Linked DNA regions of Styela clava. The protein of the gene in region 3 purifies or fractionates together with the protein of the main gene of each other region. This does not show direct contact. Links are inferred from orthologs where the notes say so. Each region holds a gene or a part of one and is shown on either strand. Other genes may lie near its edges.

Region 1 (7,541 bases), on a different chromosome or scaffold from region 3:
TTCGAAATAAACTATTGAAATGATGAGGAGAGTCATTATGTGATATATGTAGTATTATTTAGATTTAGATAGTTCATTAGTCCAATGCATTTTTTTGTTTGTTCGTTTTTTTCGATGAAAACTTCACATATTTGTACAATACATGACATACGTATATATATATTGATATTCGAAAATAGTTTCGAAGGAACTTTTCCATAATCACGCGTATACACGTGGTTCTCCTCTTCTACCACGATTTCATACAATTCAAAAAATATGAGGTTTTCTTGACAAAGTTTGGATTTGTAAAGGAAAAAACTTGATGATAAAAGTAGGCTCGTGGGTGTGACGCGTCGTTTCAAATCGTTAGGAATGCGCCTTTTGGTACGCGAATGTTTTTTCTTTTTATTATTGTATTGAATCCCTTTTCTTTTTCAATGTAAAATATATTCCCATTCACTAAACATTTTTCATGATATATCGATTATTGCTTTTAATTTATAAGTAATCCACGAAAATCTTCTACACTTTTATTTTCATTTACATTGTAGGATTCTCCCTCGCCCTCGTCCTTGGTTCGTGAATAGTCAGTCCTTCTAATTGTATTAATTCTCTTCTCTTCCGTAAACGTAAAATATATTTCCCTTCGCCAGGCATTTCTCGTGATATATCGTGTGCTGCAGGGGTCTCCAACACACGGCCCACAAGGACCCCAGCATTCAACACATTTAAATACATTCAGATTTCTTTTTGTATTTTTCGTATATTAATTTTATACCGAGGTTATGACCCGCGTCGTCAATAAAGTTCAAAAAGTGACCCATGACATTTTTTAAGTTGGAGACCCCTGGTGTACTAAGTAGTATGCATGTGAAGTAGATTATACGTAAAATTTTATAATCCCTCACACGAATTTGAATATGAAAGAAATTCGAAAAAACAAATACAAATAGATTTTTGTTGATGTTGCAGGGTTCCCTTTGTCCTCGTGGTTTCTTGGGGATCTTTCTTTTTAATCTATGCAGTCTCTCTTCTTTTTCAATGCAAAATATATTTTCTTACACCAAGCCTTTCTCATGAAATATAGTGAACCGAGACCGTTGGCATGTGAGGTGGATTGTACGTACATTTATTTTATTTCACTACACAACATGAATGAATGAAAATAAAATCTTGATTCTCTCGTGTCGTCTTGCTATATGAATAACTTTCCCCCCTTAATGTTTGGAGTATCAATTGTTTGTCAATGTATATATGTTGCTATTGAGCAAGCATTTTTCATCTTATACTATAATCGATGAGCTAGAGCAAGATTAAAAAAGTGAAAAACGAATAAAAATGTTTACTTTATATTCAGTACAAAGAAATTACATTGCTTGATAGCAGACCAGTAACTATCGTACATTTGTGTTGATTTCTAACAAGCTTTTACATGAACTATGAATGAACATCGCTCGTTTTGGAAAATATTCGTTAGTTTAATATTTTCGATGCCGACGGGACAACTTTGGTCAGAAATCCGGTCAGATTTCAAATATTTAATTCCAGTCGTCACCCGTTTGCGATATCTTCACGCACGGATGTTGGACATATAGACCGTATTAGCGACTCGTTGTGCAGTGTTCCCATTAGTTTTCAAAACAAATTTTCCTTATTTCTGATAATGATGGGCCGTCAAATTATTCATTTTATTACTATTTCTTCGTTATTTGAACGATGACATGAGAGAACAGTAATCAACAAAATACCAAACGAAAGTACAAAGCATTTACATGAATACCAGTTTTTATTTTCAATCTGCCAGTTTTTATTTCAAAACTTTCACAAAAATACACTTCAAGCAATAAGTGAGTGATACAACCAGGTGGTGCTATAAAGGTATGGTTTATTGGGACCAAGGACGTTATTCATATGATCCAATGATCTTACTACTTCTGCAAAATCAACATATGCGAATAACTGAAGTCTGTCAAATTATTAACAAGTGAAACCGGAATGCATTCATCTGCACGTTCACTGACACGGTGATGAGAAAACAGCATTGTTCAAAATATAGGAGATTCCCGTGTCTTCAGTGATGTGACTTTGAGTTTCCCAGTTCCTGAACAATATACCGGATTAAGAAAAAGAAATCAATGCCTATTCGTGTATCTCAGAGGTGCACTAAAATGATCGCAATGAAAATGTACAAAAAATTACAGCGAGCCGTGTAAAATATTGTACAAGAAAAGTGTTTTATCCAGGGCTATCGTATTGTTTGATCGTCTTAATCAAAAAATTTTCGATAATCGTCTAGTGATCAACAAACATTTACTACATCAGTTTCTGTAATCAGAATTTCATACTACTGGACATGTTCAAATATTCCTAAAATATTGATGAATCGCAATATAAATTTGTATATCGATAGACGACAAAATCGATTTTGCAACAATCTTTGTTAAAAATTCATCCTCACCATCTAAACTGCAGCAAACATGAGAGGTTGAGCGAGATGTTTTGAGTTGACAACTATCGAGAAACTTTACAACTCCGGGGAATTTTTTGCCATGACGATTGATGAAGTACACCTTAATTGAATGTTTTATATTATAACAATTGTGGACACGCACCTTGAATCAAATACCATATAGTATTAAAATCGACAACTTTCATCCAAATATTTAGTCTAAAAATAGCACTGTGTAGTGTGTACAATCGAAAATATTTGGTTTCTATTAACAAACTTAAAGCGTCTTTTATGTATTGAACTAGGTTCATGTCTAAGCCGTGAATACTTGACACCTATGGAAAGTTTCTACAAAAAGCAGTAGATGTTTTCAATGCGCAAAGCTAAAACCTCCTGGATTTTTGACTAACGAAAAAGTTGTATCCATCTTGTGACTTGTGATACCATGATACCCTCTCCGGCGCAAATAAAATTTGATTACACAAAGCAAACTATCATTACCTCGATTCCTACTTTCATTTCTCCATACGTCTAATAAGTCTTTTTTGTAACTTGTCTTATTACATTAGCATTTTCATCTTGTTGTTTTCAGTAGTTGCTGAATTTGTGCTTTTGTCAGCGTTTAAAGTACCTGCACATTTCGGTTTCGCATTGCTAAGGGCGCTCAACATTGCATCAACTTTCGATGCTGCAGACGTCGATGCTGAGAGTCCTTGAACTAAAACACATCGAAGGCGGTAAAACAACGAACGCGTTGTGTTTTGAGAATGAGAATTATTGTTTGAGAATTGTTTCTTCTGGTACAAAAAGCATATTCTGCGGCCCAGCTTTTGGTCGGTTAGGAAATTAAATTAACTTATAGAATGTCAATATCTTTTACTAGAAGATGGTTGCGCATGTTTTGAAGCCTGCATGCTTTCTGACTGTAATAATCGTACCTGTTTGAAGCTTGGCTTATTGTGTTGTTTTAGTGACTGGTTTCGCGACACCTTTCCTTAAAGTTGTACCTATGTCAACTGTATTTTTCGTCGCGACTTCTTTTTCCCGGTTCTTTAGCATTGCTAATAATCCGTTGATGACATAATTGTTCGGAAGAGCTTCTACCCCGTGTTGCGGTAAAACAGTACTCTTGCGACAAAGAGCACATTCCACCTCGGTCACACCTTTAGTCTTCTTGCTTCTAGTTGGAGCCATCCTGAAACGGAGTTCACTTTTATTGTAATGAAAGACAAAAACGTCGGTTTCTTACTTATTGGTTGCCGCTTGTACAGAGATTCACTCGGAAGTGAAGTGTGGGACAGCCTCATAAAAAACATTTCATTCAAAATACCTCATTTGTTTGTACATCTGACACCCCGTGGTGAGTGCGTTCAAAACGATGTACATCAATCACATACCTTCCAAGCACTTTGCGCAGTAAGAATGTTGACAGGACAGCACTTTCGGGTTTGAATAGGCTCAAAGGCAGATTGAACACGTCAACAGGCTTTCTGATATTTCGCTTACAAACTGCTTCCTCAAACAGCGGTAGCCATATTAAATTTAACAGAAGAAACAGAACGACCACCGCCAAACGAAAGCTAGAAGTGGTACGCTGCTCCAGATCAAAATAACCATACAGAAACAATTATGTTATAAAAAGCGTGGTGTAATTATTATTCTTAAATTGGATTGCCTCCAATCTTTTATTATTGCCCGCGTTCAGTTGCGGACTAACTGTCAAACCAGTATTATTTTTCTGGTTGATCATTCAAATTCCCTGAAATACTAATGTTACGCTGCTACAATTAATCAAAATTACATAACTAGTTTTCTATATGAAAAATTGAGGCATACGGGGATTTTCCATACGCAGCGGATGTGTTAGATTCTTGGAAGCTGCAACACATGGTCCCTTGAAGGTTGGTGAAAATTGGTAAATTTTCAAGAAAATTATTTACTTCTATATACTCAAATCTTTGTAGGAAGGAAGGTTAAACAAATTTGGAGTGCAAATGGACATTGAATTACTATTGCTCAATTGCATTTGAAGTATATATAAATCAAAATAGTACGCAACTGATGATACAGCTATATGGATATCTATGGAACGCTAATCTGACTCTGCTGTTATCCTCTCTCGCTTCAGCAATGCCAAGTGCGAGATGATGCGATAAGTCTATTTGATTGCAACGATTAATTCGTCTGAAATGCTTCATCTACAGAGTAAGTGTAGACAAAAGTTTATTAAAATATCTACAATATAAATCTAAACGAAAAAAAAGTTATTTTGCAGAAAACGAAATTATAGAAATATAAAAATAGAATTTATAGTTATTTTTCGATATATATATATATATCCTCCCTCCCCTTGTCTTCACTACACGCCTCAATCTGGAGCTTGACTGCACGAGGCATGTGTGTATTTTCCCCTGAATTTCATCCAAAACAAGTCATCAATCTGCGCTTTAAAAGCTTGACTGGCACACTGATATGCCCAAACTCGATAGACGATATTTCATTGAGCAAGCCTATGTTTACCCTCTTTTTACAAGAATCATTGCTATCTTCTTTACAGTGTATTATGCATACATATACCCTTATATAATTTTCTAAATAGTCTTTGTTGCAAGTGTTTTCATTGTTGCAAGTGTTTTCATTGTTGCAAGCTCATTAATTTCTCTCTATCTAATTATTATTTACCTAATTTTTCAAAATTGCCAGTGCCGTCAATTTCTCTCTATTTGTCTCTATTACTAATTTTATTGGACACGTGAGTGGACCTATGGATCGTTTTAATATTTTGTTGTTGTTCTTGTTCGTCTTCATCATGATAAAATCGCTTTTCTTTTCGAATACTGGACCAATTGCTTTAAAAATTTCATTCTTTTTATGCTTTCTCGAACGCTTTATCGAAACCGAAGTTGCATTGGTTTATTATGCAATTTTTCTTCCATCGCCATATTGCTGTTTGATAAGTGCGGCAGTAATGGCTCGGTGGCGTCTTCGCTTTTTCGGTTTCAATTCATCCAGTGATGAGCTGGAAAAATCGTAACAACCGGAACGCACCTAATTCGCAAAATCAACGACTAACATACGTAAAAATGTAATATATATATTTACAGCACGAGGCGGACGTTTACAGAAAGTTTTGTCTAGCCCTACCCCTAACCCTAACCCTAACCTAAGATAGAACCAAAATACTACAATGAAATATGAAGAAATTATTTGGACTACCGTGTTTCCCCGAAAAAAGGACTGGGTCTTATTTTCGAGGGATGTCTTATATTTTCATTTATCAAAAACAAAATTGTAAAGTAGAATATTACGAGATTTCCAAATATATATATATATATATATATATATATATATATACAAAATAATATGGAAACCGATATCCTTTTATTTATACATAACAGTTTTTATTCAAAATAACTGCAAAACATGGATTATTGATCATTTAAAACGCGTAGGAGAGGTTACTTGCTATCGACTAGGTAGAAAAAAATTCGCGTTATCGACTAGGTCCTATTTTAAGCGGATGTGTTATATTAAGATCATTTTCAAAATTCAGGCTAGGTCTTATTTTCGGGGGAATACGGTATGTCTGTGTAAAATTACAAGAATATTCATATCGATTCGATACAAATGTTATTATTAGAACGGTATGGGATGAATTTCAAAGGCCGGGGAAACATCTATTACTCGTTACTGATTATTTGCGTGATGTGGTGTAAAAAGAATTACGAACTATGATGTAACAAAACATAAATTGATAACTAGGTTTACCAGAGAAATTAGACTTTTTGTACCATAATTTTATTTTAACAACAGGAATGCAAATGCAATAAAATGTCCAACAAATGGAACGCCGTTCTGGTGCGTTCCGGCTACAGCTCACCATGAATTCATCGCGGAAGCGCTCTGTCAAATCTCACAAGATTTAGAAACCAAGGGATCACACGTGTGTTTTCTTTTCTGCTAGCTTTTCCTGCTTGATTAAGACCATCCATATAGAAGGTTAGGAATATTTCTTTGTTCAAACCAGAAAACAGCCAAGAACAGTATAATATTCCAGGGCTTCGCCTTGACATCCAGTAACATATGAACTTGTTGCGGCCCTACAGGTAGGTGGCCACGAGGAGCGCGACAAAAGCTTGGGCCGCGGAGATCTTTCCCAAGTGATACACAGTCGGATTTTGAGCCTGGTGCCGAATTACTAACGACTTTGTTAATATGTATATATTATTATTTTTGTTCCACTCATTTCAATGTTCGCGAGTACATTTTATTTAATTTTCCCGGTCCGCCAGGATAGGAAGGTTGGGACCACTGCCGTAGACCACCGTAACCCTACTGCTTTCACTGGTTTTCATGTCCGCATATTTGACCATAGATATCTTGTTTTTTGAATTTGTTATAAATAATCGAAATAAAATAGTTTTGGTGTATATTAGAATTTACATTCAACGAATGAAAGGTGTTCTATCGTGACCGTTCCTCGATGTGAAACTAAAAGTATATATACCTGCAAGCGTTTGAAAGTCGTGATGGGGGTGTCGTATACGAGGTTGCAATTTGAGTGACATACGAAATGCACGTATTGGGAACGAAATTCACGACTTCTTACAGCGAAGATACGCGATGATATCAATAAAACTACCATTACGCACAGATTATCATGTTCTATTTATAAAATAAGAGTCGGTTCACGCATCCATGCGTAAATGCCTCCGGTGGTTACGAAAGTCATTTGCTAAGTTTTCATTGCAATTTGTATCTTTTGTGGCATTTTTTAGTTAAAGCCATTCGAAAAAAAATTCTAGACAAGAACAATACAAAAATATGAATGGGAGCCAATTTTACTTATTGCCGCTGCAAGAATTATGGATTGGAATTCTCCACACAGTTTCTCGCTTTGAAAATGGCTTCGCACCCTGTTCTACCGTCTGACCGTTAAGTCATTCGTTATGCGTTACCGCCATTTTTTATGCACTTCTTTGGTACACTACAAATTAGGTAATGATTGATTAAATTGTTGAAAAGTTGGTCTAGACACCGTACAATATCGAACGAATTTCAGCAATGACCAATGGTACGGTAGGTACCGTATGATAAGAAAATTTTATTT
Region 2 (8,147 bases), on a different chromosome or scaffold from region 3:
CTTGGCAGCACCCCTTTTTCTTCTCACTGGAGGAGTTGGAGCTTGAAATTCATGACCTTTGGTGTGAGCGAGAATTCCCGGATAATGATTTGCAGGTCCTTGTAAACTCATCATACTCATTGAAGGTTTCATCATTGACTGCGATCCTGTGAATATATTCTCCTCATTTTCAGCTTGATAACTTGAAGAACTCGACAATCTAGTGTGACGTTTAGGCGTACAAAGACTGTTGATGCTCATTCCAGGCGTCAAACCAGAAGTTGAAGATCCAGTATGGTAGTCGGAACCATCGCCATTTTCGTCTTCAAATAATTTGGATGCGGGCCATGCACGGGAAGGTGTTGCACCTAATCCAGGTGTTATGTGATTGTTTGATGCTACTGCTTTCATACTTGGGCTCATCATAGTTGAAACGGCTCTTTGTACCGTATTTCGTGGAGTCCGACTGAATGAAAAAGCACGCGTCAATTTCCTATGTGATTTTTTAGCAGCTCGGAAAGCCCTTCCAAAAGTGGAACCAATATCTGTAGTGCTAATATCTAAATCTTGAGAGGACAGAGTGTGAATAAAATTGTCATCACTGGTTTTGCAAACAGTATTAGCACGATGTCTAGAAATGAGCTGTAGCAGTCTATTTTTTCCTTCATCTCCCGTTAAAGTTGCATTAGGTTCCTGGTCCTTTTCGTCAACTTGGCCACCACATGTACTTGAACATGTCACAACTTTGAAAGTATACAACCAATCTTGAGTATCTGTTGGCGTACGACAGAACAATGAAAAAGCACTTTGGCAATCATCAGAATTTTTTATATTGACAACTTTTTTGATGTGGGAAAGTGACAAGAGTCTGATATGTTTGAGAGAGCGCGCAGCCGATTGAATTCCTGTGTGAACTTTCGGACTTTTAAAACTTTGTGTCTTTGCGCCGTGTTTTCTTTTGGCTATCTCAACACAGTCAGTAAACAGAAATAGACAAACATGATCTCCTTTACTCGTTAAATTATCGTCAACTGAGATCAATTCTGAGCGAGTTACGAACTGCCTATGTGAAGAAACAATTGTGGGTGGACATCCTTCAACTTCATAAACAATATCAAAAATTTGTTTTTGCGATTCCGTTTTTCTTTTATCTTCGTTGATATGGGTCATTACCTCTTTAACTGCATCCAGTGCCGTTTGAATTCCCAACACATCTGGGTGATTTTTATTTTCCCTTTCTGTGTGCTTTTTAATATCTTGTAAAAGTAAAAGTATTCTGGGTAAACGTTGTACTGGGTTGATAAGTAATTCAGCAAGAGTTTGCCTTCCACATTCTTTCTTAGCTTGGTTAATTTTCAAAAATGCATGAAATCGGGGCATTGTAGATTCACACGAGTCAATCATCTCTTTACTCATCTCAAAGAAATTTACAAAAGGGGGATAACAACGCACAAATTCTTTAGCATATTTATCGACGATACATCCAACGCAGGATGAGTCACCCCATGTCTCCATAACGTTTGACAAATCGGCTGCCATTCTCGTGTGTACTTGATGTATTTCAGGTAACGATCCAAATATTACTTTAATATTTTCGCCAGGAAGTATAGGTCCGCCAGCTTGTCTTAAATCTTCAAGTGGCTTTTTGAAGACGTTTATAATTGTATTTAATATTCCAACATAATTTTTCTCGGTTTGTAAAAACTCCATCGCAACTTGAAAACGGGCAGACACAGCCTTTTTTACAGCGTTATTTGATGAATCTTTCATCGAATCAGATTGACGGGGTGAACTCCTTGTTTTTATATTATTTGAAATGTCAAGCATTAATGATTCGTTCATACACGTAGTCATATCAGTAGATTTTCGTTTTGATGCAGGTTGAGATCCGCAGTCCGTATCAGAATCCATTGCTAATTTAGCCAAAGTCTCTTCCTTCATTCTTGATCTTTTTCTACTGAAGGAATATTTCGACGAGGATGAGGCTCGTGAAACTCCAGATTCGCAACTTGATTTTCTATATTTATGTGGTGTACCTAGTAATGATGAACATGTAGAACTTCTTGTCATTGTTTGTTTTGTTTCGGGCATTTCGAATATGTAAATTGATTCAGCAGCTCTGGCTTCAATCTGTATACTGCCCCAGAACCATTCTTGAACAACAACAAAGAGTTTTCCTTTCGGTTCAAATGAAAGACTCGTAACGTTATTTTCATCAACGATTACATGTGTACATGATGAATCCCCGATGTCTGCTGTTTTTGCTCCTTGTTGCAATGCTTGCTCTTTCATATGCTCACATTCTTCAGCAGGGAATCCATAGAAACTCAAAACGCATCCTTCGAAAGGTTTCGCTTTGCATGGAAAAACAAATTCATCATGAGTTGCATGAATTCCAGTTCTTTTTCTTGCGTTCCAACACAAATGAACCCAATCTTCTCTCATTATTGGTATGCCAAGGCTGACAGCCGTACGGTATTTTGGTCCGTGAAAGCCATTAGTAACGAGAAAATCAATTTTTGCACTCATATCTTTCTTTATACAAGCTCCCATGTAATGACAAGTTGTGACAAGCCGTGTTAAATGTTCTTTAGTTTTGAAATTGGTGAAGCAAAGATTTAATCCTTGCATACAGCTACAATATTGGGGTCTGTATGTATACGGCAAAGGTTCGTTTGTAAGAGCAACATGCATTATGACCGGCGATCCCAAGACCCTATGAACAGAATGTTTTAAATTGTGGAAATACTCGCTGTCGAACTCTTCAAGTACAAATATAGTTTCATATTGATCATCTTCCAAGTCAATGTATTCAGAACCATCTTTAGATGCGACAAATGGTATATTTATATTATTTAAAGCCTGAATAAGTTCGCTATTGTTTGCAGCGCTATCAACCAGGCAAACTCTAGGCTCAACTGAAGAATGATTGGGTGACTTCATAAAGTTCATAGCACTTATTTCAGAACTTGCTGTTGCCGAAAGTTTCAAACTATGATCTGAAAATTCAGCCATTTTGGATGTACTTGGCTGTAAATCGTCAATTTATATCAATTTTCAAAAATTGTGCAGACTGGCGTCCATCATTTGTCAGAATCAGCAATTGTCTAACAGTACAAAGCAATTTTAACCATCCTAAATTTTTAACACCTATTCAACTGTAAATAACCAATATAAATTTGCAAATTATTACCCGTTACTGTGAAAAGAAGAAAAATGACAGAAATGTCATGGCGGTATCCTGTCAACTTTTAATAGCCATTTAACACTGTAAACCATATTAATCATGAGCATGAACCAATATCCCAGTATTACAGATGACCATAAGCAGGATACTACAATGTTCAATATTTCAGTATGTTAAATAATAACGTAATACTGTAATACAGTACAGTGGGGCACAGTACCCAAATGTATCGCCATTTGATTTAATAAAAGCAACACAGTATTTGTTTTTGAAACAAGGGCGTCTGGAACGACAACAGATGTGTCAGATCATGCGAGATCGTCTCTGTAATAATTGCGAATTTTTGCTAAAAACTCATGAAAGCTGTGGTAAAACTTTTTTCCTTCGGTCTGTCGGTAAATCAGATTAGATTGCATTTACTTTTATTTATTTCTATAATTGTAAAGTGCCGATATAAAGGCCCAGACAGTTTCATAAAAGGAAGGTTTGCACTCAATGTTAAAATTAATGTCTTAATATTAGGGCTATTATTGAAATCGGAGTAAATTTCAAGTCAGTACTGCAGTAAGTCAACACAATTAAATATGGCTATTCCCAGCTAAAACATGCAAAACAACAAATTTTACAGAGAAATATCAATTTTAGATTACAGAAATTCAATTATCAAAATTCTTAAATCCAATAAATGCGGTATTTCTGCATTAATTTTGAATCTCATTCGTAAACTAACGTTATATCTGTCTATAAAAATGTAGTAATGTTAATATTAGGTACGGTACCAGTATCGTAACTTACGTAGAGAGATTCATTCCCACAAAAACAAATTCGACACTATTCAGCTCTTATTACAGTATCATAAACATAAGCCAATAAATAGGCTAGTACTGGAATAAAAGTACTGTAATAGAAAAAGTAAGTACGGTACCGGTAGGTACCGTAGTAGTAAATGTGCTGGAATAAAATATTTACACATTCTAACTAACGTTAGACTTACGGTGACGCGATTAAAACGACAAGCAACAGAGCGACAGATTAATTACTAATTTTGCGGTACACTTTCATAAAATATACGACAAATCACTACCGTCATACCGGTACCGTACTGGCCTGTTGCAATATTTCACATTATAACAAAAGCATAGGCAAAATGCCGAAGTACAGACAGAGAGGCACTGGCCGACTTGGAATTCAAAAGTTTTGTTCGTCGGCCAATCCGTGAAGGCATTTTTTAAACAATGAGCGGGTCATGCATTCAGCTTACTAGCGCCTACATTGTGCATAGAGAAGTATTTCAGATTAGATTTCAGGGTTAGTATATTTGAATTTTCACTCCTGTTTGTTACTGTTGTTGTTTACATAAATGCTTTTCACTAAAACTAATGAATAATCGTTTACAAATTTTTATCAATCGAATATGAAAGAAACATTTGTTGAAGTTTCGCCCGATTCCGGTTTAATAAAAACATTTTTGCCAAACTCCAAATTTAAAAAAAAATCCTGGAATTTGATTGCGTGGAAATCGAATTTTACAGATGAAACCTTGATCGTAAGTTAATACAATACTTTAGAATATATGTTGCTTAATTTTAAATGACATTGAAAGACAAATAAACACTTTTCCAGCACAACACTTGTAGCACCGCCAATACAGCAACCCTCCAATCTTCTCGAAAACTCTCTTGTTCATTGCTACTTTAAGTTCCAATCCAACAAATTACAAATTTTACGCGCAAAAATTACATTTTTATTGTCTTGTCTTCATAATTTCGCTAAGAGAAATAGGACTGGTATTTATATAATAAGTTAATAAACGAAATGTAACGGGAAGCTAACATCTTTTCGAAAAAATTCGGAAAAAAGACGTCAGAAATTCCGCCTGCAAAAAATCTCCATAATCACACTTTCTATTACAGCGGAATGAGGTACATACGGAATGTCTGTACATTTTTCAGTAGACTTGAACAAAGAATTTTACAATGACATGCATGTATTTATTACTATGGGTGTTCAATAAAAACATATGAAATCCTATTCTAATATCCTAAAACCCACATGAATATCATATTCCATTGTAGATATCTATATGACAAGAAAGCTAGATTCCTTATCGAATTCCACAATACGTCCACCCAACCAAAGGTTCCCCTAAATAATTATTCCTATGTACGGATGTATACGTAGCAGTTTATCATCAGTGAATGAGAGATTGCGTATTGTGCCTAATATTTAAATTACTTGAAAATAATTTTCAGAGGCTGCGCACACGCATAGATTTACTGCGCACAGACGTATTTCGATGTGATGTAACAATGTTTTCGGTTGGCAGGTTGAAAAAGTAGTTGTTGGCCCACTTATTATCCGGTTAGAACGCCAAAATTTCTTCATTGGTTTTTGCACAAATATTAGTCCTTTCCAAAAAAGTGCGCACACACCAAAATTTCTGCGCACACATACTACAAAAAATTAGAGGGAACATTGGCGATGAGGATGGGATTCGATCCCACACAACAATATACCCGTATTTCTCCGTGTATAATACGCACTTCTGATCTCAGATTTCATCTTCAAAATTAGGGGGTGCGTATTATACATTGGTAGCCTATAGAAAATTTTCAAAAAATCATGATCGATATTTTACATGCAATTGCAAAATACACATGTTTTCTTTCCGTCTTATTTCTATTAATTTTATGTGACAAAGTCCGTAATAACCAGATCATGCTTGTTGCAGTAGAATCACACCCATAGAATGGACTATCTTGTCTAACAAAGGACAACGCATCTATTTCAATAACCAGTGTATATAAGTGATAAGAACGTCACTTCAAATCGATAGTTTGATTGTTGTTGTCCTCCAGTCTGGCATCCCTCATTTCTGTTTTACCGTATCGGCAAAATTGAATGTTCCTAAATCATTTTTTCTCACTCTGAATTGCGGCTTGTTTCATTTCTCTCGTTTTGACCGATCGGCAAACGGGCAAACCTAACGCACACAAATCTTTTTTCCCCAACCATTTTCAAAATTCTCTAAGATAGGTAACAGCACGATAATTCAAATCTGGGTAACAGCACTCCGAGATTGACAGACACAGACCTGTCAATGTCATAAACACTTGAAACATATTATTAAATCACAGTGAAACTTGCTAGGCTGGCTTCCCGAAAATACCAAATGCGGTCGACGCAAGTGACCGAAGTGAGTGACTGAATTCGATCATGCGTAATATGCATGAACCTTGATATTTTCATACAATCCATCCTAAAAGAGCCCTGCGTATTATACACCGAGAAATACGGTATATTATAAACGTATATATTATAAAGTTCGTGCCGTGCTGATAAAGACCTAATTTAGCATTTTCTACTTTAGTTTTACATACATAGTATACTTTATACTATGTTTCACGCAAAACTCACTTCATCTACTTTTAAACAATGTCCACGTGACAAACTAATAAATCTAAACACATTTACGAATCCAATCGAAGTCAATGGATATTAGAAAAAATGGCGTGGTTTTATAAGCACACTGTTCTATTGTCAATCTTGGTGCAACGTTATGGATCGTTTTTCATTTAAATATTCGGCAAGTTTGGTTAAATTTTTAAAATCCCCCACGCGTATGAAAAAAACTTTTGGCGAAATTTCGGAAGCAGCTCCTTTTGTTGTGCCGTGTATTATAGTAACAATGCCGCCAACGAGTTTGTTAAAGTAAGTTTTTTCGGTTATGTAGTTTCTACGGTGAAAAGAATTCTCAAACGACAAGTAAAATTTGAATGACGCAAAGATTTCAAGGAAAATAGTAATATCAATTTCAACAGGGCGGTTGGCGCACTTCCCGAATTGATGAACACACAGTAGACCTGTGAAGAGAACTTTTGGTATACTTTGGCATTACATGATTTCCAAGTTGTCATTAGGCCTGATTACATGTCCATTAAAACTAGTCCAGCGAAGCGGTTCGATTCGGAAAAGTCAAAGTGGTCTCGGAGACCACTTAGCGCCCTCGAATACATGTCCAAACCAACGAGATGAGTACAGTTTTGGAGCTGCCGGACTAAAGCAAATACGTCACGATTTGCAAACACTACATATATTTTTTTTTCAATAAATTCAGAAATTCAACACAAATGTTAATTAAAGTATATATCAAAATTATATGCGCGTTCTTGATTGAAGTTCTGTGAAGTTATTTGTAGAATATGATGGGGGTTGCTTTCCCGTTGAAATTGACCCATGATCTATGTCAGATCGGATTCTAATGTTGTTGTCACGTATGCTGGTTATATATTGTATTGATTGAAATGATACAATTAGTATAAAGAGTTAATGTGTGTCTAACATTTGGCACAAAATATTTGTTACATATGTAAATAAAACTATAGTGTATGTTGAAAATGAGCATTGATTTGTTCTACAGTAATAGTTTTATAGCAAACCATTGGCAGCAAAATTTTTCCACGTGTGGGTCTAATCAGATAAATGTTGAAAGTTTTATTTATAGTTTTCCAAAAGCCAGAAATGGTATGTCAAAAACAAATCTCCAAACTTGCAAGAGTTATCTAAAAGTTTACAGTGTCTAATTCCTTTGCCATACTTGCCATACATCATTTCCCAAGTTGTCATCTTCAGATCGGAATCTTCTTGAAATGTTGGTGTCGCTGTTTCATTAAGGCAACCCTTCACTAGTTTAGGCCCTCAACAGCGAAAAGATTCACTAAAAAAACGAAAGACAAGACAAAGAAGATGAGTTACGCCGCCGTCGCGTCTTCGTCTCCTGCCGCAGCATCTCGACCTCGGACGCTCTTCCTAAAGACCGACAAAGACGTGGAATTCGCAGAGATGATGGTCTTCTTCAGAAACAACTCGCGGACAAGAAAGTTCTGCGATCAAATCGAGGGGCTGTTTGAAGGTCGCAAAGGGACTTGAATCCTAACCTTTGCGGCAAGAGTTTTTTTTAATCTACAGGTATGGAGATGGA
Region 3 (8,038 bases):
CCGTTTCAATCACACCCAAAGCAAGAAGAGCAGTCTGGTTTCCAACGGCATAACTGCTGAGAGAACCAACCACAAATGCGTAAACTCCACTACTTTGCCAAAGGCAACAGCAATGGAGCGACATAACTCTTCATACCGAAAGTGCTTCCGACGGGCCGCGTCATCTATAGCGGCTCGCCGTTGTCGAATGGTCACACCACATTGACCACTACGATCCGATTCGTCCAGATTTTCTTGAGAATCAAATCGGACCGCAGCATCTCAGCTGTTCTAGCGGTGTGCTCACGACAAACTACGTCGACATCGCACCTAGAAAACCTGGCTGGAGGTAGGTGAGCCAAGATCTCTTCCTGCTGCACCGAATCGTGCCGCTCTTTAATGATATTCATGACTGGGTGACAGTGATTCAGCATATGAGGAAGAGTCTCGTTTGCATACCCACACTTGCTACAAGTCACCCGTGGTTCCGCATATGCCGTAAACCGTCTACGAACGGATCGCAGCGGCAGAAGATTTAATCGAGCTTTCAAAAACCACGAACACTGATACTGGGCGAGAGAGACAGACGTGAAGAGCAACTTAATTTATGTGACTAAATACAAAAACAGCAGTTATCATTCCATTTGGACTACAATACAACCCTAACCTGTATCCCTACGTTATATTACAACCCTAGTATAAACCTCTTACTTTTAAACCCAATTAATAACTTCGATCCGAATCGTTTATCCTAACCGCAGATAGTAAACCCAATATTAAACACGATAAACAACTCCTAGCGCAATAGATTACACTGAATACAAGACAGAAGGTGCCAACCAGGGCTGCCACTTTTGCCTGACTAAAAACATCTAGATTGACCTCGAAAAACATCTAGTAACATCCCGATTGAAAAATAAAACATCTAGAAAATACATCTAGATATCAAATCCTTGAGTTTAATGCAAAGTAACCATAATACAGTAATATTAGATGTCGAAGAAGCTAACATCCTAACCTAGAACTCAATTCCCACCTGCAGAACTTACAAAATACCTTATTCTTATCATCTGAAGGGGCAAACCATTCCTTAATTAAGCCAATCTTTTTTAAATTTTTGCTGGTAGTGTATACACTTTGGCATTTTGAAAGGTTGATGTTTAAAGAGAGACACATTCAATAGCCCTAGTTAGCAATAGTTTCTATTTAACGTTAATTAAAACGTCACATGTTTTGAACATGTTAAATTCGTTATTCAAATATTTTGAGTACATATGGCTGTATGGTACCAGTGGACGAATACAATATGAGTGAGTTTTATCAATCTTAGTCAATACTTATAAATAATGAAACAATATTCATTCACCTATTACAGTATTATTTACATCTCTTTATTTATTTCCCACTGAAGAATATTTATAACCTTGAAAAAAATATCTAGAAATTATAGCTAACATATAGGCTCCAAATTTCACATCTAGATTTCGAAAAAAAAAAAAAGTTGATCTAGATGTAAAACATCTAGGGTTTTATTTCAAATGGACACTAGACATAATAAATGAGTTGATACATACTGATATGGATGGGCAATGAAGATTTACTCCAACACAGAGGAGCACTCTGCACGTGGTTTAAAGAAAAGTGTAGCTTACGTTCGGATGTACATCTTTCATATTTGGTGTATCTTGAAAGCATGGATGAAGTGCTTCAGTCGCAATAAAAATCAGGAGCTAAATATAATTCAGATATCAGAGTACTGTTGTAAAGCAAAATCTTTTTTCAAGCCTCATGTTTTGATAGACTCAGTAGCTGCAAATTCATAAACAACATAATTGAAAGTGTTATGACAAAAAAAAGAGATGCCTGAAATAATTGCCAGTAAAATGATTAGATCCGAAAATGACATTTTGGAATATTTTAGGGGTGCTGTGTTAAAAATGTTGGAAAAAATTTAAATATTGCGGTCATCCAGAAGATGTCTGCTACCACTTTTAGAGGATGGAATTTAGTTTGCTCATGTGTCCATCTACAGAATACCTGTATTCATTAAGCATACCTCAATTGAATTTTAAAAGAATGAATATCCCAATAAAATTCAGTTTTTGAGGTGCGAGTAAAAATCCCAATAAAGTTTAGTGCAATACAGCGGTGAGTAGTGACAGATGTTCTTCCTAGTCAATATTTCAAAAACTTCACATTGAAAATCGGTCTTGTGAAGAATTGTCAGATGATATCGAATAAGTGATATCATATAGATTTTCGTGTATTATGGATTCAAAATAACTTTTATTAAAGTGTAAGTACGATACGGTTCTCAACCTTTTTTAGTGTCAGAGCTTGTAATTGGCCTTGAATTTTAACTCTGACGTCTGGGAAAACCGCACTCGTGATGGATGTAGCAATAAATATTACAATAGCTAGATTGATATTTATATCATGACATCTATTTCAGTCCGAAACATTTTTCTTTCCAATCACATTGAAACGCCCGATTATATTTATAAAGCGTTGCGAGCCTTTTTAAAGGTTTGCTTGACAAAATAAGAATTAAATATTTTGTTCGAAAATACCTAATATTAGCACAGTGTGCGCAATAACCTTCTTGTGATTAATGGAAACAATCTGAAACGTAGACTGGACATTGGGGGGTATTATGACATCATAATGAGTCGTTCCTTATATTTTCGAGCAACGTCTGGGCAAAGTATGAATCAATGTGTAATCCTTTGTCATTGAATGATTTCCAATATTTACGGTACCTTATATACAACCTTCCAAACAATTTTATATTCTAATTTTCACACCCAGAGATAACATAGGAGTAACTTTGAACGTATATCACCCAAGACATTTCGGGGAGTCAACAACCGTATTTGATAAAGGAGATTTTCAAACTAACTAAACGAACAAAGCCACATTTGTCGTGGTTTGAAACACACCTATCGAAACCTGCAAAAATGATCGGATTACCTAAAAAGTCCTCCTCACTATCGGCCCTACATAATTTCCAGATAAACGTGCTATTACAGTTTTCCAGGTTAGGATCGTGTCGGCCGTTGATTGGTCGTGGGACGTGATGGCGAGTGGCGACGTTTTGAATTTGGAGTTAGGTTTTCCAAATTTAGGGACACTCGATTCGGGCTACACACATCTTTCAATTGTCTCAAATTTTAAGTTGTTTTACTGTTTTATTATCAATTCTTATATCAATTTTACCGTTGTTTTAATTGAAGAATAATACCACACAATAGCAGTACTAAACAATCAAAGATTCACTCGTTTTACATTGTAGACAATAAAGCGGCCGTCAAAGAAGCCTCGTCTCGCAAAGAACCGTAGGTGAAATACCTGCGTACTGTACAACTTTTCTGTGATTTAGTTTCTGCGTCCACATTACAAATAATGTGTGTTCTTTCAGCTTAGATTCAATTAATTTCAGCTGCAATATTCCCTAATTCCCCAAATCCCGCATTTGCTGAGTAAAAATCCGGAAACGTTGGTTCCAGAAATTTCAAATAGACAATCCCGAAGTGTGGAGTGGACTTTTGAACTTAGCTTTCTGTGCAGTGAAACTGACGTTACTTTGTGGTATGCAAGACAAGGTAGGGTCGGATTTACATATTTATGCTCGGGGAGAGGAAAGCCGATAATGCGTATCAACCATACGGCGAACCACGGCCTCTCGTCCGGTTACCAGTCCATGTTGGGTATGGGATTAGTTAGCTAGATATTTGTTTTCAGATACATGGACTTGATGACGGAGGAAGCCGTGTACCACCATACGGCGTAGAGGATTCCAGCAATCCTATCACACATAATTTACTCCTCCTGATATTCGAACCTACGAACCAAGGTAATCAAAAAATATTCATTTGTCGATACATTCACTTGTCCGTTCTCAATCCCTTCTTGATCATTGCGTTTTTTCTTTGAATGCTGGAACTAAAAGTTACTATTGCATGTGCTTTCATACATTTGCCATAGTGCCAAAATCATAAATCCGGTATACAAAAGTACTTAGTTAAATTTAACGAAGAGAGGATAGGATTTACATATTTATCCCGGGGGAGAGGAAAGCCGATAAGATGGCTTATCAATATGGCGAACCACGGACTCTCGTCCGGTTACCATTCCAAGTCGGGTATGGGATTAGGTATATTGTTTGTTTTCGGAAGCATGGACTTGGACTCTCGTCCGGTTACCATTCCAAGTCGGGTATGGGATTAGGTATATTGTTTGTTTTCGGAAGCATGGACTTGGTGGTGGAGGAAGCCGTAACCGACCAGCGGTTACGTGAACCACCCAACGGCGGCGAGGAGTCCAGCAATCCTCTCGCACATAAACATCTCTGCATGGGATTCGAACCTGCGAACCCACGCAGAGTAATTAGAGGTGCGGAGGCGAGCGTATTCCTAATGATTAGCCCGTTGAGCCACACCGCCGCGCCGGCGACTTGGATGTTATTTGAATTAGTAATCTTACCATTGGATTCATCCCATATAAACTTGTTATTTAGCATTGATCGCATTATGCAATTTTTTTAAATCCTATCTCGCGACCGCATAAAAAGCTTTCGCAAGCAGTGTGCGCCCGCCAGCCCTACGTTATGTAGCCTATAATAGCCTGCGCCTACCGTATCCTGATTTCATAATCGGTTTTTATTTATTTGTTCCAAACAATCACTTTATTGCCTTATTTTGCTGATTAGGAGGTTGAAATAAACTTATACTTCACTGCATTTAAAAACTTCATATTTTATATACTTTTCTATTAGTTTATAATTTGGCTCGTCATTTAGTGGTGCATCGAGTCATATGCGAATTTTTCTATAACTAAAATATTTTGATTCCATTTAGTACGATATCCACACTACTATTAAAATAGCATAAAAGTTGATAAAAGAATATTTATATATAATTTAATTCTTAATTTCTCAAAGATCTTGATTATAACAACCCTTTTGTAATTACACATCTCGAATCCGGTACCGGTATACGCTCCTGCACATTATGCCTTTGTTCTGATTTGCGATTTCCCAAATCCCAATGGCTTATGTGGTTCTGCCATCTTTCTAAAATCCTAGTCCATTTTTACAAATTTCAAGTTTTTTGTTGCTTTTGTGGTTTGTCTTCAGGGCGTTCCAGCGTTAGATAATCAGCTTTTGTAAGTGTCATGGCGGATAATATGGATGAAGATGATTTGGTTGTACCGTACAAAAAACTAAGAAAAGAGAAGGCCGGAATTGAGGGTGAAGATTTTGGAATTCAACCCAATTTAAGTGAGTTTATTTTAAAAGTTTTTATGGTACCGGTATATTGTGTACCGTACAGCCATATAGTCTACAGAACTCGAATGAACTGGATGAGGATATTCTGACAAGTCCAGAAGTCCTGTTGTTTCTAGCCATCACCCTCTAAATTCTAAAACAAAAGTCGCAATCGCTTGTTTCTCTATTAATTTGTTACACAACTGATTATGTTAGTCTGTGACTGCTAGGCTAAAACCTCCTCGAATATTTATCAAAATTCCAAGCACATTAATACCGTCAGACCGTATTTACTTTGACTTCATGTTAACATCATGGTTAAGATGACATTGCTGGGCTAATTTTCACTGTAGATTATTTACTTGTCATGTATATTCCTGTATTCTGTACCGTAATTTACAAAAATACAATGCATTATTTCAAAGTGTCTAGTGATGTCATTTCTGTATTATAATACTGATAATATGTCCAAGTCCAGAGGTCGTAATGAAAAAAATCATAATATGAGTCTAATTTTCAATGCATATCTGCGTATGACATCATTTATGTAGTCTTGATGCGGCAGATTCAAAGATTGATAGTCGTAGCCCTGAAATACCAAGTCACAGATCAACTACAAACACGTCGATTCAGTTGGTTGGCTTTGGGTGAGCTTATAATGTTAACCCTCGGACATAGAAAAGGTATTAGAAATGCATCAAGTGGGGAAAATTTCACTCTATCAATGCTTTATGTTTATATCAATTTGTTTTTTTCTCGTATTTACAGGTTCTCATTTCTCCAATGGGCTTGGTGATTCAAAGTATAAAAGTGGAGAATCAGCACCAGGACGTCATCTACGTTTTCATTCCGTTGAACAAGATGATGTCCAGAGTAGTTCAGGCAATAGTAGTAATATAGAAAATGAAAATCCCAATGATGAAGATAGCGGCAACATAAGTGATTCATCATCTCATGCAAGCTCTGGGGATTGGCAAAGAAGACCAGCTGGTTTGTAGCGGAGTTTTATTCAAAATTACGCTTTTTCAGGGTTCATTTTATTAATTTCAAATACCTTTCCCTCTTATTCTTAAGTAGTGAATAATTTGGTAATGATGCTTTTTTTTATTACAAAGCTGTATCCAATTCGAGTTAAAAGAATTTCGATTCAGATTCCAAGTTTTCAACATTATTTTATTCAAATGCCTGAGCCTTATTTCGATTAAAAAACTTGACTCGACTACAGACTGACTAGTCTCAAGACTCCAATGGCTTGTGATCCACGGTTTAGGGACTACCCGACAATTATTATTAAACACATTCATGCGATCCACTCTGCAGCGCCGTAATATTGTATCATAAAAAGTTTAAAAAAAGTGATATTATTCGTTCCTTTGACAAGGTATCTTTCTTCACAGGTATGATTGGATGGGTTCATGCACAGATGTTGTCAGGCGTCGATCCTAGAGAAATTCTTCACCATCTTGTACCAAGTTTATCCAGTAGTTTACCTGTAGACATCAATCCATTTACGTTATGGAAACTTGTGAGTTTTTTTTTACCTTTTAACCCTAACAAAGCTGTCTTACAACCCATACGCTGGTGAAAAATCTTATTGCTCAAACATAGTTATATTTATGAAATTGATGCTGGCATTTTAAAACAAAATTTGTTTTGAAAAGTCTCTTTGCCATTGGAAACATGCAACTGCATCTTTTTTAATACAACATTGTTGAAGGGCCGCCACACTCTAATTCTAAAATGAAAGAATTGGTATTTGACTCGACTTGGCACCGACCTAACGTGTATTGCCATAGCCTCGGGACTCTGTTGTCGTTATCTCCTAAATGAAGATGAACCATCCAACCAACCAAAGCGTCGTACGGCTGTACCATAAAAATAAGCAACCACTATAATTCGAGGTGGCACCTGGCCAACTTTGCATGCTTGGTGATGATCGTGATGCAGACACTATTCGAGGATTGATATGAGATCGCAATTTAAATTCAGAAGGTCCACGTTAAATCACAATCATATTCAGGCTATCAAAATCTTTGCTCTTTTGGTTGTCTTTTTCAAACTTATACTTTTTTTGCTATTTCAGGTTTTAAACATTCTGAGTGAGCCACAGAGACGACCAAAGTTATCCCACATCAATTCATTGTCTGATGTTGTCAATCTGATAAAAAATGCAAAAAATATATTAGTACTAACTGGAGCAGGGGTGAGTGATGTTCTATCATCAGAAAATGTAAATCTTCAATAAGGCAAAGTGAGAACTGAAGGGACATGATATATATACGTAAATGACTTCATCGAAAAAAATTGTCACCATCAAGGTTTATCAGAAAGCCGCCCGTCTTTAGTCTGGCCATCGATTATATGGTGGCCATTCGGTGCCCTCATTATAAGTTTATATCTGCCCTAAAGTACAGAAATGAGAGGGAAGACAAGCCGTGAAGCGAAACATCTCTTTGTTTGACATGAATATTTATCTCGGAGCAGCTAGACGCCATATTTACAGATATTATAGCTTAGTTCTGGTTAGTTCATAGCTCATTTATAACTGAGTTTAATTGAACTCAGAAAATTCTTCCCTCTGTCTGTTGTCACTAATTTAAATCTATGTTTGCAAGGTTTCAGTATCATGTGGAATTCCAGATTTTCGTTCCCGCGATGGAATATACGCTAGACTTGCAGTTGATTTTCCTGACCTACCAGACCCACAGGTTTGACTTATACTGTGTAAAAGTTTTCATGAGCAAATTGCATGACATCATAAATAATATTTTCTTTGTTTCTAGGCGATGTTTG
Region 4 (7,745 bases), on a different chromosome or scaffold from region 3:
GCAAATGTCGGCTGCCAACGACACAGAATCACCCGAATTTGTTATCGCAAAATTGGTCAGTCGAGTCGATTCCTAAATGTTTTGTGCTTCCTGCTTTGGATATGATCGTTGACATCTGAACGACCGCCATGACTAATAGAAAAACAGATCTGCAATGCGTACAGTGTACCTTTCCTCCTTCAGTTTGCTTCAAAAAAGGAAAATCTTTCTTCAACTCATCAGAAAACTTGTACTTTCTTTTTGGCATTTCGACAACCTAACGACATTGCAGTTAACGCCAGAAAACGCATTAAAACATATACCAATTGTGACATAACAATAGAGCGATTTCTCTCTCCGAACTAGCAAAGTGTGTCGCAAAACAGTGGTAAATGGGCTGTCACCGTTAAAAAGAAAATTGTGATAATAATGAACATAATTTTTTTACCCATGAAAGCCGTGCTGACAAACCGGGACATTTGATTCAACCGGCCGGGACGCCGGGACAGCTTGTCAAAACCGGGACTGTCCCGGCTAAACCGGGACGTATGGTAAGCCTATAATGAGAGATCATCTTGATGCTGCAACTGTTTCGAAAGGGACATCTAAGGATATCCAAAATGATTTGCTCGACTCAATGTATAAAATTTATTTACAACATTTGGCTCTGGAAATTGAGAATTGCCAGTTCCTTTCGATTCAGTCTGACGAGACAACTGACATCACGTGCGTTTCCCAACTGGCTGTGATTTTTCGGTTTGTGAAAGATGGTAAACCTACCGAGAGATTTCACAGCTTTGTACCAATCGTTGATCGCACGGCTTGCGGGATATCGGCTGTACTGAAAGAAGTGTTACAGCCTTACAACGCGAAGTCAAAATTGATAGCTCAAACTTATGACGGCGCGGCAGTCATGAGTGGGTCGAAACATGGTGTTCAAGTTTATATAAAAGAAGATTTTCCTCATGCGCATTTTTTACATTGTTATGCACCCCATTTTAACCTCGTTATTAAAAATATGTGTCTTGATACCCCTCTCGTCCGTATATTTTTTGCAAATGTTTCGGGGTTTTCTTCATTTTTTTCCGTTTCGCCGAAGCGCTCTGACCTCCTTCGCCAGATATGTAGCCGCCGTCTCCCAGCTTGTGCACCAACACGTTGGAACTTCCAATCACGCGTGGTGCAGGGCGTGTCCGAAATTAGGTCTGAGCTCATTGAGTGTTTCAATGGCATTCAGAGCTCTCCGGTTTGGGACGAACGCTCTGTGAGGGAGGCGGCAGGTCTAAAGCGTCTGCTAGAAGATGGTGAGTTTTCATTTTTTCTCGCTTTTTTCTTCACAATATTCTATCACGTGGATGTATTATACGGCGCATTGCAGCCAAGGCTAACAGATGGAGCGTCTGTGCAGTCGTGTATTTCAGACTTCTGCGATGCTGTATCTGGTATCCGAGAAACAATAAAATACGACGACACATGGAGTGCTTCTTTACGCCGCGGGCAAACAACGCAGCGTTTGATTGTGTCTGCAAAGGAATGCTGTGACATTCTGGTGAATCAAATAGGCGATCGTCTGCGCACTGAACACCTTGCCGCGTTCTCTTTGATGAACCCCAAAAATTTTTCAAAATTTGCACGTCAATTTCCCATCCATTTGTTGGCTACTGTCTCCAAATTTTACCCCATGATAAACGTGGGTAAATTGGAAAATGAATTGCGATGTATATACACCAATCAAACTTTTTTGAACATCACATCAACTTGCGCGCTCTATGGGTTCCTCATAGATAACACTCTAGTAACTACCTTTGCGGCGTCTGCAAAATTTCTGGACATCATTTTGACGACGCCTATTTCTTCCGCCGACGCAGAGCGAACATTCAGCACGCTGAAGCGTATTAAAACGTATCTCAGAAACACAATGAAGCAAGATAGATTAAATTCCTTGGCTGTTTTATCCATTCACAGAGACGTTATTTCTGGGATGCATGACTTTAATCAGCGCGTTATTGAGCATTTTGCTTCCAAGAAACCGCGGCGTGTTGCATATATGTTCAAGCAGTAGAAGTCTAGCAGCATATATATCTATGAGTGAGCGACGCATGTTCTTATCTTTGCATTACCTTTCCTTTCTTCATAGTAACGTTTTAAACCTTATTTTAGGTTTTGTCTGCTTTCCCGAAGTTTCTGTTAATATGTCATTGTATTTATCTGGGTAAATATTGCCTTTCCGTTTGAAAGAGGTTTCAAAATAAACTATGTCTATATTTATTGATCCCTTGATTTGGACCGGTTTTGAAGACACTTTCTTATCGTTAAAAATTGTCGCTTTTGCCGATTGGTTGTTACCGATGGAATGGTTTTTATACTCATAAAATGATGGGAGAACTTACAGCGCTCATCCTGTCCCCGTAGATGGGGGTGACTTGGTCCAGCAGTAGCTTGCCCCGGTTGTCAAAATGACCACGCGCCGCCACTAGTAGTGGTATATATTTACGGTCTGACCAAGGTCTGGCTGACCAATGACATTGGGCTGACTCAAACTGTAAGCGTGGATGACTTACATTATTTGGCTTTATATTATTCGATTCCGAACCTGCAACGAAACTGATTGTAGTGTTGAAACAATTCATCTTTACTGCTTGTTATGCAAAACTGTATGTGTTGGCTATGCGCATTGCAAAAGACACTTCGAGAAAAAACATGTGAGAAGAGCCGTCGTATATCAACATTATAAATGTCCGAGATTCAAACTAGATGATCTAAGACAGAACAATATTAACAACCACGGGTTCACATGGAAATCACGCAGTGATTACTAAAACTGAACGACGCCTGGGAGTATGCAACAGAGGATCTGTCGATTTTCAATAATGATTCCATGAAAAAAAATGATAAAATAAAACTAAATCTGAACGAGGCCTGTGTGAATACACCAGACCTGACGATCACCCAAAATTCAATATTGAATCCATGAATCAACATCAAACCCAAAATAGAGATCAAGATGTGCTATTGGAAAAATGACCACTTGTCCAGTATGCAGAAAGGAAATGTGCTCAAGAAGGAAATGTGTCTGGAATGAGTCACAGTTCGTTGGAAATCATATTACAGTTTTTCAATCCATAGTTCTTGTTATTGAAAAAAACTGTAAGCTTATTTTAATTGCATCGAGTGCAAAACTTAACAGTTATTTCAGCCAACTTTCTCATTTACACAAAGTCGCTTTGAAAATTGTAATAGATACCTAACAAATTAGTAGTTGACGTAGCCAATTTTGTAGTAACATAACAGACATAGCAAGCATCGCCATTTTGGTAGAGACATAACCATTTTAGAATGGACATACCTTCTTTGTGAGGACATAGCAATTTCAGTACGAACATAGCCATTTTCACAGAGACATGGCCATTTTGGAAGTGACATAGCTTTTTTGAAATGGATATAGCCATTTAAGTAGGGCCATTGCCACTTTAGTTGGGACATAGTGGGCATCGGCATTTTTGTAGGGACATACTCATTTCAGTCCATTTTACTAGAATCATAGCGGGATCATTTTAGTAAGGACATAGCCATATTAATAAGGATTTGGCGGACATAGCCATTTTAGCAAGGACATAGCGGAAATCGCTACTTTGGTAGGGATATAGCCATTTTGGAAGGAACATAGCGAAATCGTGAATTTAGTAAGGATATAGCCATTTTAGTATAAACACAGGAAACATAGCCATTTAGGGTGTACATAGCTATTTTAGCGGAGACATATTGTATATATAGGCTTTGGTGTACATAGCCTTTTTAGCGGGGGCATGTGATTTCTACCGTAGTTGGTGAAAGAGTAATTTGGTAATACATTTTTGGTTTGTTTCTATGATCACATAGGCTATATCTTTAAGAGTATTTTTTAAACAATAACAATAATATTTGATTAGTCGTTTTTTGTATAATCATGGACCTTTCCCCGAGCATCGACTTTCTTGTTTACTTCGTGACATTGGCCAATCAGCAAGATGCAACAAGTAACGTAACAATGCCCGCTTTTTACATCCGCCCAGACACTTTTCTCACTCAGACAGATTTTCAGACGTGGTTGTGAACATCACCTCGTTTTCGCGTTTTCGAACTATATTCGTTAGTTTTCAATTGTGTTTTGGAAATTTAAATGTAAATCGGATAATCCAACGATCACTATGTATTTTTAAAAGTTTTAATTTATTCGCAGTAATGAAGAATTGGTGTAGAAATAGCTGTGATAGACTAGTCTAAAATTTCTTACTGGTACTTTTAAAAAACTGTTCATTGTACGCGATGAATTATATATAATAAGGGTTTTAAACAAATACCCCATTTACAGGGGCCAACTCGCGGAACTACTCCTAAAATGAGCCCCGCAAATTTTGCAATGGTTAAGAATAGGAAGAATTTTTCTGGTGTCAAAGGTCAAGAAAAGGTCTTAAATTCTTTTTTAATGTCCGGTTAAATACTGTCACCAGGGACGCCATTGAGCAGAAAGGGGATGTTTGGTTCCCGGCGCGAAATTTCTGAGCAGTTTAACACAACTCTGCAACTAGGCTAGTTCTTTTAATGCCGTATTCATGTCTTCTCGGAATGAAGTCCGATTTCTTGCATTCACTGAAGAAGGGAGAGAGAATGTTGAAGCAGCTCACAAAGTAAGTCAATATCGGTACCGCATTTTTGCATTTTGGACAGGATATTATTCACATAACGGTATTTATCCCGGGGATAGGAAACCCGAAAACACAGAAACACGGCCTAAATATGTTTATAGTTCAGTAGTCTGGATAATGCTGACGTATTGCAGGAATAGGGTTTTTTCTGAAAAATACAGAAATATAAATTATAATTCTCAATTGAATGCGAGAGCAGCTCAATAAATACAGAAATATGACTTTTCACAGCTTGCTTCTGAGAATAAACTTAAGTGTACATGGGTGACTGTAGAAGAAGTGAATAACTTGGAAGATTCTAAGGACAGCAAGGAAGAAATTGTGTATGTTGCTGATCCAATTGAAGGTAGGCCTAAGCCTGTGTCTGTATTTTAAAATAGAAGAATATTTTTTGTTTTACCTGTGACTGTTTGGAAAAATATGTAGACTATGTTATTTCCAGATTTTTTAATGTGATTTCGTTTTACGTGTTCTACCTTCTCATTTAAATTTGGAATTTTCAAAATTTGAGGCAGTAAGATTTAGTTGCTCTGCTGATTCTGTAATCAGTTTTTATTTGTTTGTTTTCATCAATTGTTTTGTTTATTATGCTGATTATGAAGTCAAAATTAACTTATACTTATGATTCCTAGATACATGTAAAGAACAGTACGTCACAGTTTACTGATTCCAGAAAATCCAATTAAAAGACAACAATTATAACAGTGAAGGCAAACCCGACCTTTACGAGACGGTTTAAGTCTCCATATCGCAACATATCGACACACCGGTACTGTGCAATATTCTAATAGGAAGCGCAGTCTAGAAATAGCACCATCCTCAGAAAAAAATTTTAACAGAGCATTCGATCGGAAGATTTTAGCAAAAACGCATTTGCCGTTGTGCAAGACATCCTCGTTTTAGAAACAAATAGAGTTTTTATTTCATTGAATCAAATGTTGGCCAATCTTAAAAATCGGGAAACTGTGATCTACTGACTTATGTTATATAACAGTCTTATGTAGTTCATTTATTTCAGTAATTGATAAACAAATAATTAATTTGCTCCTTAAATTGAACAGACTTATTGAGGGCACAGTGACTTTGGTTCATTATATGATCAAGCCATAATTATTATCTTTCTTCTCTCTCTCAAGAAGAAAAGAATCCTTTAAATAACTGAATATTTTCCAGGTCCTGAAGTTGGAGATGTTATTGACCATCTTGTGAATCTTAACTATCCTGTACTTGGTCCACAATGTGCATTGACTGTTCTAAAACATGGAATCAGACTTCAAGATGATTTGAAATATCCTCTTTATACTCTCACATTGCTTAATACAACAATTTGTTTCTCAAATATTCAAAATGAAGAAAGAGTATGTGTATTATTATTTGTAGTGAAGATACTATCGTTAACTTTTAAATATAAACATCTATATTCGGACCAATTTACTGGGGAAAGGGGTTGTTTTTAAATTTACATTTGAGAAAAAAAAAATTGTATACATAATGCTATAATGACAGATTTTTTACCATCGATTTTATTAGTGATAATTCATTGTAATATTTAATCATTATGCCTTCAAAGGAATCTTCTTAGTTATTTATATACTAATCATATTGCTATAAATTACAGAAGTCAGTATGCAAAGAGAATCTGCTATAAGCATAATAGGTCATTATTTGTGGAGCTTTGCCTCTGCTTTATTTACATTTTTTGGTATTTTGTTAGTGATCCACTTTGATTTTAATTTATTATTATCACTTTTATTTGAATTTTCTGATATAAATCAAATCAAGTTTCAGTATTTATCACTAATATCACCAGTACATTCCTTACATAAAAAGTGATTGCCTTTATAATGCTTTTGTGTAGATAGAACTTGTGCATCTAGTTGAACTTATGGGTGGAAAAGTGTCACGACCATTGCATTGTGATGTCACTCATCTTGTTGTTGGTGAAGTCGGTTCTGTCAAATATTTTACTGCAGCTTCAATAAATATTAAAATTATGACAAAGGAATGGATATATCATTTATGGAAGCATGGAATGTCTAGGTATGACAGAATTCGATCAGTGATAACAAATATACGCCTGTGATGTCTGTATAATTTATATGAAATTGATGATACCGTGTTTCCCCGATAATTAGACCTCGCCTGAAAATAAGACCTAACCTGGATTTTAGAAAATATTTTAAGATAATCTCTCCCTTTTTAAATAAGACTTAGTGGATAGCGCGAAATTTTTTTGACCTAGTCTTATCATATTTTGTATATTTGAAAATCTTGTAAATATCTACTTTATAATTTTGTTTTTGATAAATGAAAATAAAAACATCTTTCCAAAAGAAGCCCTAGTGTTATTTTCAGAAGAAAATTGAAATACAACCCTGTTTTAGTTTCGGGGAAACACTGTATATATTTATAAGTTCTTATCCAAGAATCAAAATTTGAGATGAACACTTTTTTTATAGTATTTATTTACAAAATAGGTCCATGAATACGTCCAATGTACATGATAAAATTTGGAATGAAGAGTAACATCCTTTTCACACAATGTGTTTATTCACCTTTTTACTCTGACCTAGGCTCTGAACGATCACCCAAGCTATGTAAGGAGGTTCTATAGTTTGGCGGAACCGGAATATTTCTAATTCCTCATTGTCAGCTCAATTTGTGACACCTTGGGTAAGGTGGTGCGCACAGGACTTGAACCCAAGATTTTAACTTTAACCAAGCTTTGACTTTTATCACTACATAGGAATGCCAGTATTTGATTTTTTAAAGTATTATTTTTGACTTGATATAAGATTCTAATATTGTAATATTTGGATTTGTCCAGTTTCATCTGATTTAATTATTTTTATTTAAGCTTAATAAATATTTTTTGTTTTAGGTATATTTGTGCTAAAGATGGCAAATGGGAAGAATTTTTGTGCCCGATATTTCTTGGATGTAAAGTTTGTATGACAGGTTTTGGAACAACTGAGAAAACCAGAGTTCAAAAATTAGTCACGAAGTTTGGTGGAGATTATAGTGGAGCAATGAAGTTGAACTATACAACTCATCTTATTGTCAATAAGCCAGAAGGTTGAA

The links.
Region 1: the proteins of uncharacterized protein LOC120347059 (region 3) and ATP-dependent DNA helicase Q4-like purify together in Homo sapiens (affinity purification with mass spectrometry; 3 studies listed by BioGRID). This does not show direct contact. The link is inferred for Styela clava from reciprocal best matches to the Homo sapiens genes SIRT1 and RECQL4.
Region 2: the proteins of uncharacterized protein LOC120347059 (region 3) and protein ECT2-like purify together in Homo sapiens (affinity purification with mass spectrometry; 3 studies listed by BioGRID). This does not show direct contact. The link is inferred for Styela clava from reciprocal best matches to the Homo sapiens genes SIRT1 and ECT2.
Region 4: the proteins of uncharacterized protein LOC120347059 (region 3) and DNA topoisomerase 2-binding protein 1-like purify together in Homo sapiens (affinity purification with western blotting; 3 studies listed by BioGRID, with this or other methods). This does not show direct contact. The link is inferred for Styela clava from reciprocal best matches to the Homo sapiens genes SIRT1 and TOPBP1.

What each region holds. Positions count from the first base shown.
Region 1 is NC_135263.1:5,657,058-5,664,598, forward strand, and holds the start of ATP-dependent DNA helicase Q4-like, read left to right. Parts: upstream 1-4,427; 5' UTR 4,428-4,636; intron 4,637-5,916; exon of another isoform or gene 5,917-7,505; intron 7,506-7,541. UniProt on the Homo sapiens protein: An ATP-dependent DNA helicase which unwinds dsDNA with a 3'-overhang in a 3'-5' direction. Does not unwind more than 18 bp of dsDNA. May modulate chromosome segregation. The N-terminal domain (residues 1-54) binds DNA Y-shaped DNA better than ss- or dsDNA.
Region 2 is NC_135261.1:7,398,911-7,407,057, forward strand, and holds the start of protein ECT2-like, read right to left. Parts: upstream 3,146-8,147; 5' UTR 2,995-3,145; coding exon 1-2,994. UniProt on the Homo sapiens protein: Guanine nucleotide exchange factor (GEF) that catalyzes the exchange of GDP for GTP. Promotes guanine nucleotide exchange on the Rho family members of small GTPases, like RHOA, RHOC, RAC1 and CDC42.
Region 3 is NC_135260.1:19,827,497-19,835,534, forward strand, and holds the start of uncharacterized protein LOC120347059, read left to right. Parts: upstream 1-5,021; 5' UTR 5,022-5,151; coding exon 5,152-5,257; intron 5,258-6,013; coding exon 6,014-6,235; intron 6,236-6,642; coding exon 6,643-6,770; intron 6,771-7,328; coding exon 7,329-7,448; intron 7,449-7,860; coding exon 7,861-7,953; intron 7,954-8,028; coding exon 8,029-8,038. UniProt on the Homo sapiens protein: NAD-dependent protein deacetylase that links transcriptional regulation directly to intracellular energetics and participates in the coordination of several separated cellular functions such as cell cycle, response to DNA damage, metabolism, apoptosis and autophagy.
Region 4 is NC_135257.1:5,646,310-5,654,054, reverse strand, and holds the start of DNA topoisomerase 2-binding protein 1-like, read left to right. Parts: upstream 1-4,490; 5' UTR 4,491-4,571; coding exon 4,572-4,646; intron 4,647-4,895; coding exon 4,896-5,010; intron 5,011-5,837; coding exon 5,838-6,022; intron 6,023-6,522; coding exon 6,523-6,704; intron 6,705-7,545; coding exon 7,546-7,739; intron 7,740-7,745. UniProt on the Homo sapiens protein: Scaffold protein that acts as a key protein-protein adapter in DNA replication and DNA repair. Composed of multiple BRCT domains, which specifically recognize and bind phosphorylated proteins, bringing proteins together into functional combinations.